Linked DNA regions of Coturnix japonica. The protein of the gene in region 2 interacts with the protein of the main gene of each other region in a biochemical or structural test. Links are inferred from orthologs where the notes say so. Each region holds a gene or a part of one and is shown on either strand. Other genes may lie near its edges.

Region 1 (3,649 bases), on a different chromosome or scaffold from region 2:
TATCATGGTGAGGAGTTTGGTAGCATAACCTTAGTACTAAATTTTTTCATTATGAGAAGATGGAATGACTGTCCACAAGGACTTTCAGTCATAATATTTGTATGCAATTGCTAGTTACACAGTCCTTCCTGCACAGTGCCACTCCTTCACCTGTATATCCTACACTATCACTACTATCAAGCCAGCAGCATGGCACAGAGGCTCCCACTGATATACTTTACACAGCAGTTATTTCAGGAAAGCCACCCTTTCCTTTGCTCTGCAGATGTGCTCTCTCTCTTGCCCTAATAGCAACGCACCATCAAAAGTCTCTTCTCTTTGAAGTACATCAATCTGTGATGACTCCCTGTAAAACAGGGGGGCCAACTTCCATTAGAAGAAGAGATGTTTCCTGATCCCACACAGAAAACTTTGATGTCAGACAGTAACTTTGTACTGGGTACTAAAACTAGGTTGGATTGAGCCTTGAGAAGAGCCTGACCTGGTGGGTGGCAACCCTGCCCATGGCAAGGGGCTTGCAATTAGGTGATTTATTAGGTCCCTTCCAAGCCAAGCCATTTGTGATTCTATGATTCTATGAGATCTCCTTGGACTGCAATTGTTTTGTTGGGAAGCTTACGTTGCCTATCCTCTACACTGGCGAAGAGACTTTCAAATAAGGAGGAGATTTTCTTTAGGGGGGAACGAGTGTTCAGTTTGCCAAGTTCCAGTCTTCAGCACTCCTACACTTTATAGACATTATTGTCCTTGTTTCTTGGAGGGATGGTTTCAAGCCCTGCAGGGATGGTCACATTATTGTTGTTAGTGAAAGCCCCTGTTCCCCAAGCCCAAACTGCCGCATTCCCATCCTGCTACAGGGGATAAGCTCTGCTTCTTAGGAGCCCAGCCTGGGCAGGCTCCATTTCCCATGCTCTGTTTGGCCACAAAAAATAACTTCTGGGGCACATCTGGTTGCTGTATTAAGGGATCTGTACTCCGACACAGAGCCCTGAAGAGGTCACTGGCTGCCCTCAACATAGAGCAGCTCTTGTACCACAGAAAAGTATCTGAGTGCACAAATTAATTTCCATTTACAGCAGTGTTGCCAGTGCTATAGTGTGTAAGTGGTAGTCCAAGGTGCCCAAGCTTTCCCCGTAGTGAAATTCCAAGAACACAAATAACTTTATTCAAAATTATGAAGCCTGTGAGGTCCAAAAAAAAAGACATAACCTGCAAGCATATACCACTAGGCCCTTATCTTTCTCACTGGGATGTATTAAAACTTTTTTCATGCACTTGGAAATTTCATATTGTTCTGCTTTTTAGGCTAAATTTTTTCAGTGCGTTTCTGGGATGTGCTGGCAGTTGCAGAGAGGGCATTTCTGTCCCATTGTTAAACAAGTAGCAGAACCAGAGACCTCCCTTTAGGAGTTGGACTTGATTACATTTACAGATCCCTTCAATTTCAGGGTATTCTATAATTCTATGATTTTAAAATACTACTACTTACAGATCATCAGAGAGAAAAAAATCAGGAGTTTAGCAAGTACATTAAAAAGAAAAAAAAAATGTGTATACTATTTAGAGTGTTTTATTGACCGGTTGTTTTGATTTGATTGAAATATAGCCTTGTGGGAGTGAAAATATCACTTTCTATGGAAATAGCCTGTTTTCCACAGGCCATTTTTATTAGGGCTGCTAATTCAGGCTGCCATATAGATGAATGTCTGATGAAAGAAATGAGCACACAAAAGGCTGGAAAAGTAGTGAATGAAGAAAAGACCCCACAAATAGAGACCTAGGAAACTAACTAGAGGAAAGAAGAAATACAGTATGAGGGGGAGGGAGTTAAAAAAGAACCTTGAATGAGAACAGTATTTATAGTGTTTCAGATCAAAACATCATTAATTTATACACATTGAAGTACATCAGTGTGTTCTTGCTATCACTCAGGCATATTGAGTGACGTGCTGTCAACAGCAGATATCGTTCTAGGAAGATTAGGCTGGTTCATATTGGCAAATACAGTTACTTTGACTTTCCATCCTAATTTGAAGCTCAGACTTACTGGTGGATGATGACTTCTTTTACTGATCAGTTTTTGAAGGTTCCATGGGTGGTATCCAGGAACTCATAACCTCCTGCTGCAAAATGGCCAATGTCAAGTTGGCTTATTTTGCTTTGAGAAGGCCGGGGAATTGCCATTAAAATGAATGCATAACATCCACTTCTAAAAGACAGTTCTCTCATAATTTGAGACAAAAACAAAAAACAAACAAAAAACAAATAACAAAAAAAAAAACAACAAACCAGCTGCTGTAATACTGAAACCATTTAGAGCTGGTGTGTTCATTTACAGAGACATCACAGTGATTAGTCATTCAGGAAGCTTTAATTTCCAACGTGTCTTCTCATTTCTGCCATGTGAAACAGTCCTAGCACTGATCTCCCTGAAGAGGCTGCAGCTCTGCACTCACTTTACTTCTTTATACTTTTGCAGAAAGGCAGAGAGCTCCCACTCCAGACAATGAATTTTTCTGAGATGACGCTAAATGACAGCTCCACTAACAGCTCATTCACCTGTAGCACGGATGCCTTCAAGCAAGTCATTTATCCCATTGCGTACCTCTTAATCTTCTTCCTGGGCAGTGTTGGAAATAGCCTCTCCATATATGTTTTCCTCCAGCCTTCCCAGAGGAAGACCTCAGTAAACATCTACATGCAGAACTTGGCAGTTTCGGATCTCATGTTTGTGAGCACTTTGCCCTTCCGGGCCACCTATTATCTGTTAGGATCACAGTGGGTGTTTGGTGATATCCTCTGCAGGATCATGACGTACACCATGTATGTGAACATGTACTGCAGCATTTATTTTCTCACCGTGCTCAGTGTGGTTCGTTTCATGGCCATCGTCTACCCATTCAAGAGCTGGAAAGTAAGTAACATGAAGTATGCCAAGATAATGTGTGCAGTGATATGGGTCTTCGTTCTGGCAGCCTCCAGTCCTCTGCTGAGCAAAGTAATTGCCGGGTACAAAAACCCAGCCAAGTGCTTGGACCTCCACCCCAGCAGCACGCACAGGCTCCTCATGATGAACAGCTTTGTCCTTGCTGTGGGCTTCATCTTGCCTTTTTGCACAATTATCATCTGCTACATCTTTGCCATCAGAGCGCTGCTCAAGTCCAAGACACCCCAGCGCAAGAAGGCAGTCTGTCACAAGAAAGCACTGTCAACCATCATCATCACTCTCATCCTCTTCTTTCTGTGTTTCCTTCCGTACCACGTACTGCGGACAGTCTACCTAGTGCTCGGTGGCTGCAGCCCAGCCAATCTGTTCGTGCACAAAGCACAGGTGGTCTCACTCTGCCTTGCTGCCACCAACAGCTGCCTGGACCCTGTGCTATATTACTTTGCAGCTGAAAATTTCAAAGCAAGAATCAGAAGTTTATACCGAAGGATGCTTGTGTAGAATTGCAGTATTACGTTCCTGCACTCCTGCCAAGACATCTAGACTGCATCCATACTACGTGATGAATGAATGTGCTGCTGACCATACTGCACTGTGCCAGGCATCTTGGGAAGAAAAGTGTTTGGGATAAAGTTCAGTGAGGATGGTCAATACCAAGACAGGAGCTCAGCAGTGCAGGTGATTGGAGGTCAGGTGCCTGGG
Region 2 (3,674 bases):
GAGCGGGGATGTTCTGCAGGGGGAGGATGGGATGGGCTCAGCCTTGTGACAGAATCACAGTGAAGATATCACCATCCCACGGGCACTGCAGCACCTCTGTGCCATGATGTGGGGCTGCACACATGGCCTTGCTGCCCAGCAGTGTGGCATGGCACAAGGTTTCCCCCTGTGTGGCACTGCTCTGCTTCCCACTGCTGCTTTGCATAGTGCTGCCAGGGCTGGGGAAGCAAACATATCACATATCCCTGGATGGTGCCATCCTGTGGCACTGGGAGCAGTGTCTCTGCTTTCTGACGTGGCTTACAATGAGAATACAGCCTTAATAATCACCTGTGCTGGAAATAGCATTGGAAAGAAAAAAGACTGCGAGTGGCAAGGGGCAAAGTGACCCCAACTGGCAGCAAAAGGACTGAACCCCCTCTGCTATGGGCACAGCAGCTCAGGGTCTGTGGGATGCACAGAGGACTGGGGGGGGGGAGGGGGGGGTGTGATGGGCGTGGGAGCATCACTGTTAGGCAAACCCAAAAAGTCACTCCAATCGAACTGCAGAATTTGGATTGAAAACTGGAATATCTGAGCTGTGCTTTGCAAGGGAAAAACCTTCAGGGTTTCCTCTGCCGCAATCTCAAGAAATTCCACAGCTGCCTCTGCGTGGGGGGAGCGCTGCTGCCTCCGTGTGGGGGTGGGGAGGGCTGCAGCCCCCTGCTCTGCAATACCCCCCCCACCTCCCCTTGTGCGTGAACGGGATTCAATTCCTTTAAGGCTGCGTTTGCAGAGCCTGGGGCTTGGGGACCTGCAGCCCCACCCCAGGGCTCTGGAGCTGCCCGAAGGGGCACAGGGGATGTACCCAGAGGTATTTTTTATCCCTCATTGCTGCCACTCGGTTGCAGGAGGAAATGCGGATCTGCCAAAGGAAACAAACACCGTTCCTGTTTTCAAGAAGCAGGACAGGGAAAGGAAAGAAAAAAAGCAAGACTGTTCTGAATGCCTCCAAAAATCCTCCCTGCTGCTGTCTGCACCCATCTTTGGGGCACCGACGTCGTCGGACGCCAGTGGGAGAGCTCTTGAGGCTGCCCCCCACCGCCCCCAAGAGCTGCCATTGCTTTTCATCATCGCAGTTTTCCTTAATAAGTCCAGAGTTCGCTTCGAGTCACTTCTGGCTCTGCCTGACAGCGCTGCTCGCTTCCACGACAGCAGTTACTCGTGTACCCCGCAGCACGCCCGAAGCTTTCGTGGCACCCGGTTCTCGGCACGGACACCGCTGCGCCCCGACGTGCCCCGCAGGGTCCCCCTGTGACACAACCGCACCGCGGTGCCCGGAGCCGGGAGGGTCCGAGTGAGGGTGTGCAGAGCTCCCCATGCCCCTCCCGGCGCTCCCCGTCCCATACTCGGGCACGGAGCCCCGCAGCGCGGCGCTGCCCCGACGGGGCGGGCGTGGGCCGGGCCGGGGGCGGTGCGCGGGGCTCGTTGCTCCGCCGGGCGGTGCGCGGGGCAGCGCGGAGCGGAGCTGCCGGAGCGGCGGGGCCGGGCCCGGCATGCGCGGAAGATGGCGGCGGGCAGGCGAGGGGCGCGCAGCGGGCTGCTGGAGCTGCGCGGTCCCGGCGGACAGTGGCTTCGCGTCCTGCTCACCCTGAGCGATGACACCCTGAGCGTCAGCCCCGCCGACGGCCCCGGGCCCGGGGAGCCTCCGCCGGCTCAGCTGAACGGAGGGGAGCAGAGCTCCGGCGTGCCCGAGGCGCTCGCCAACATCAGGCGCACGGTGCGCGTCGTCAAACAGGACGTGGGGGGGCTCGGCATCAGCATCAAAGGTGAGGGGGGGGGAGTACCAGGAGTGGGCGGCGGCGGCGGCAGGTAGGACCTACGCTGCCCTGCTGCGACCGGAGGGCTCCGCCCGCGTGTCCTTGCGTCCTGCGTGACCCCGGTGCGGTGTCCCCTCCTGGCCGCCCCAAACGCAGCGCTCTGCCCCGGTCGGGTGTCCCCCGGTGTCCCCCGCCGCCCCCACCCCCGTCCTGGGGACTTTGCGGGAACTTCGGGCCGGGAACTTCGCGAGGGGGGGTGCGGGGGGCTGCCGCTGTCTGACGTGGCCGCATTGGGCTCAGCCTTCACCGCGCTCCTTGCCGGGCGCTGCTGGGTGGGGCGGTGTGTCGGGTGCGGGTCCCCGTGAGGGGTCCGGGGTGAGCCCTCACCGCTTGTTGGGGCTGTGGGTGCTGCAGCTCGGCAGCGCTTTTGGGAGGTGCAATCCCCCCTTGTAACCAACCCCGGGCTGCGAAGCGCTGCCGGCTCTGCGGCTCTCCCAGGAAAGGAGAAACGTTACTTGCTTCAGCTAAACTTTATTTTTGCAGTGACGTAGGTGGAAACCAAGGAGCCGTGATCCAAACGGGGAGCTGCAGGCGGGCGGGCAGCACTTGGGCTGCCTTGTGCCTCTGCTGCTTTGCAGGGGGGTGACCATGTGCCATTAAACGCAGCCAAACCTTGCTGTCCCTGCAGGGGGTGGGGGCATGGAGGGACGGGTACCCCGCTGCCAGCCAGCTCCTGTCCATGGCCCGTGGGACAGAATCTAAAATGGACCTTCTGGTTAAAGCATTTCAGCTGCATCCTAACCCCAGACAGTACTTCACTTGGGGTTTCTGGTGCTTCATGCAGCCCTGCAGGGTTAGGGTTAGCATCGTTAGGGTTAGGGTTAGGATCCTTCTCCTGCAGGGTCGTGTACCGCATGGTGCTCCGGGCGGTGGTTCCCTCTCCACGCACACAGCCCAGAATGGGTGGTTGCGAGGCGTTGCTTCCAAGCTGGGCTCGGCAGCCAGCAGCAGCCCCCGCGGGGGCCTCTTGACAGCTGATAGCCGGAGGAGCCCTCAGCTCCCGGAGAGGCTCTGCAGAAATCCGAGCGGAGCAATGCTGGCGGCACAGCGGGTGCAGCCCTGGGAGGTGTCACGCTGCCGGTCCCTGCCCGTGGGAGGGGGGTAGGGGGGAGTGAGGGGGTGCCCGGCACACGCTGTCCCAGCGCTGAGCGTGGGCAGCGCCAGGCGGGGCTGCTGGCATCTCCTACAGGTTCAGAACTTAAAGTGCAAATTGATCTCCTTGAGCTGCCCGGAGGCCTTGAGAGTGTCCTGGTGGGCTGAAGAGTGGGGAGCAGCCCGAATGGAGACAGAGAGGAGTGGGGAGCAGGTAGTCCTGCGGCTGAGCTGCTGCTCTGGGGCTCTTTTGCCTCTCCAGCACTCAGCTGCTGCCCCACTGAGACCGTGGGGTCCTGAGAGCAGGGAAGGCTGCTCAGCACACACAGTTAATAATGCAAATAGTGACACAGTTTCCTGCCAGAAGTGATGGGGAGGCGGTCAGGGCGTGTGTTTGTTCAGCAAGGAAATCTGCAGCCACTCGGATGGTTTTTTGAAGCACTTAACATGTGTCTGCCATAAAGCTCTGAGGTATTTGGGCACTGTGTGGGCACTGAGCAGCCCTGTGCCCCTAATTGCTCAGTGTCCCCTCACTGCTTGGTGCCCCTTCTGCCCGCAGGTGGCCGGGAGAACAAGATGCCCATCCTCATCTCCAAGATCTTCAAGGGACTGGCAGCAGACCAGACCGAGGCACTGTATGTGGGAGATGCCATCCTGTCCGTGAATGGCACTGACTTATCCGAAGCCACTCACGACGAGGCGGTGCAGGCACTGAAGAAAACG

Evidence for each region.
Region 1: the proteins of SNTA1 (region 2) and CYSLTR2 interact in a test that uses a peptide from one of them, tested with the Homo sapiens proteins (2 studies listed by IntAct, with this or other methods). The link is inferred for Coturnix japonica from reciprocal best matches to the Homo sapiens genes SNTA1 and CYSLTR2.

What each region holds. Positions count from the first base shown.
Region 1 is NC_029516.1:151,149,587-151,153,235, forward strand, and holds part of CYSLTR2 (cysteinyl leukotriene receptor 2), read left to right. Parts: intron 1-2,479; 5' UTR 2,480-2,506; coding exon 2,507-3,448; 3' UTR 3,449-3,649. UniProt on the Homo sapiens protein: Receptor for cysteinyl leukotrienes. The response is mediated via a G-protein that activates a phosphatidylinositol-calcium second messenger system.
Region 2 is NC_029535.1:2,063,669-2,067,342, forward strand, and holds the start of SNTA1 (alpha-1-syntrophin), read left to right. Parts: upstream 1-815; 5' UTR 816-1,546; coding exon 1,547-1,808; intron 1,809-3,510; coding exon 3,511-3,674. UniProt on the Homo sapiens protein: Adapter protein that binds to and probably organizes the subcellular localization of a variety of membrane proteins. May link various receptors to the actin cytoskeleton and the extracellular matrix via the dystrophin glycoprotein complex.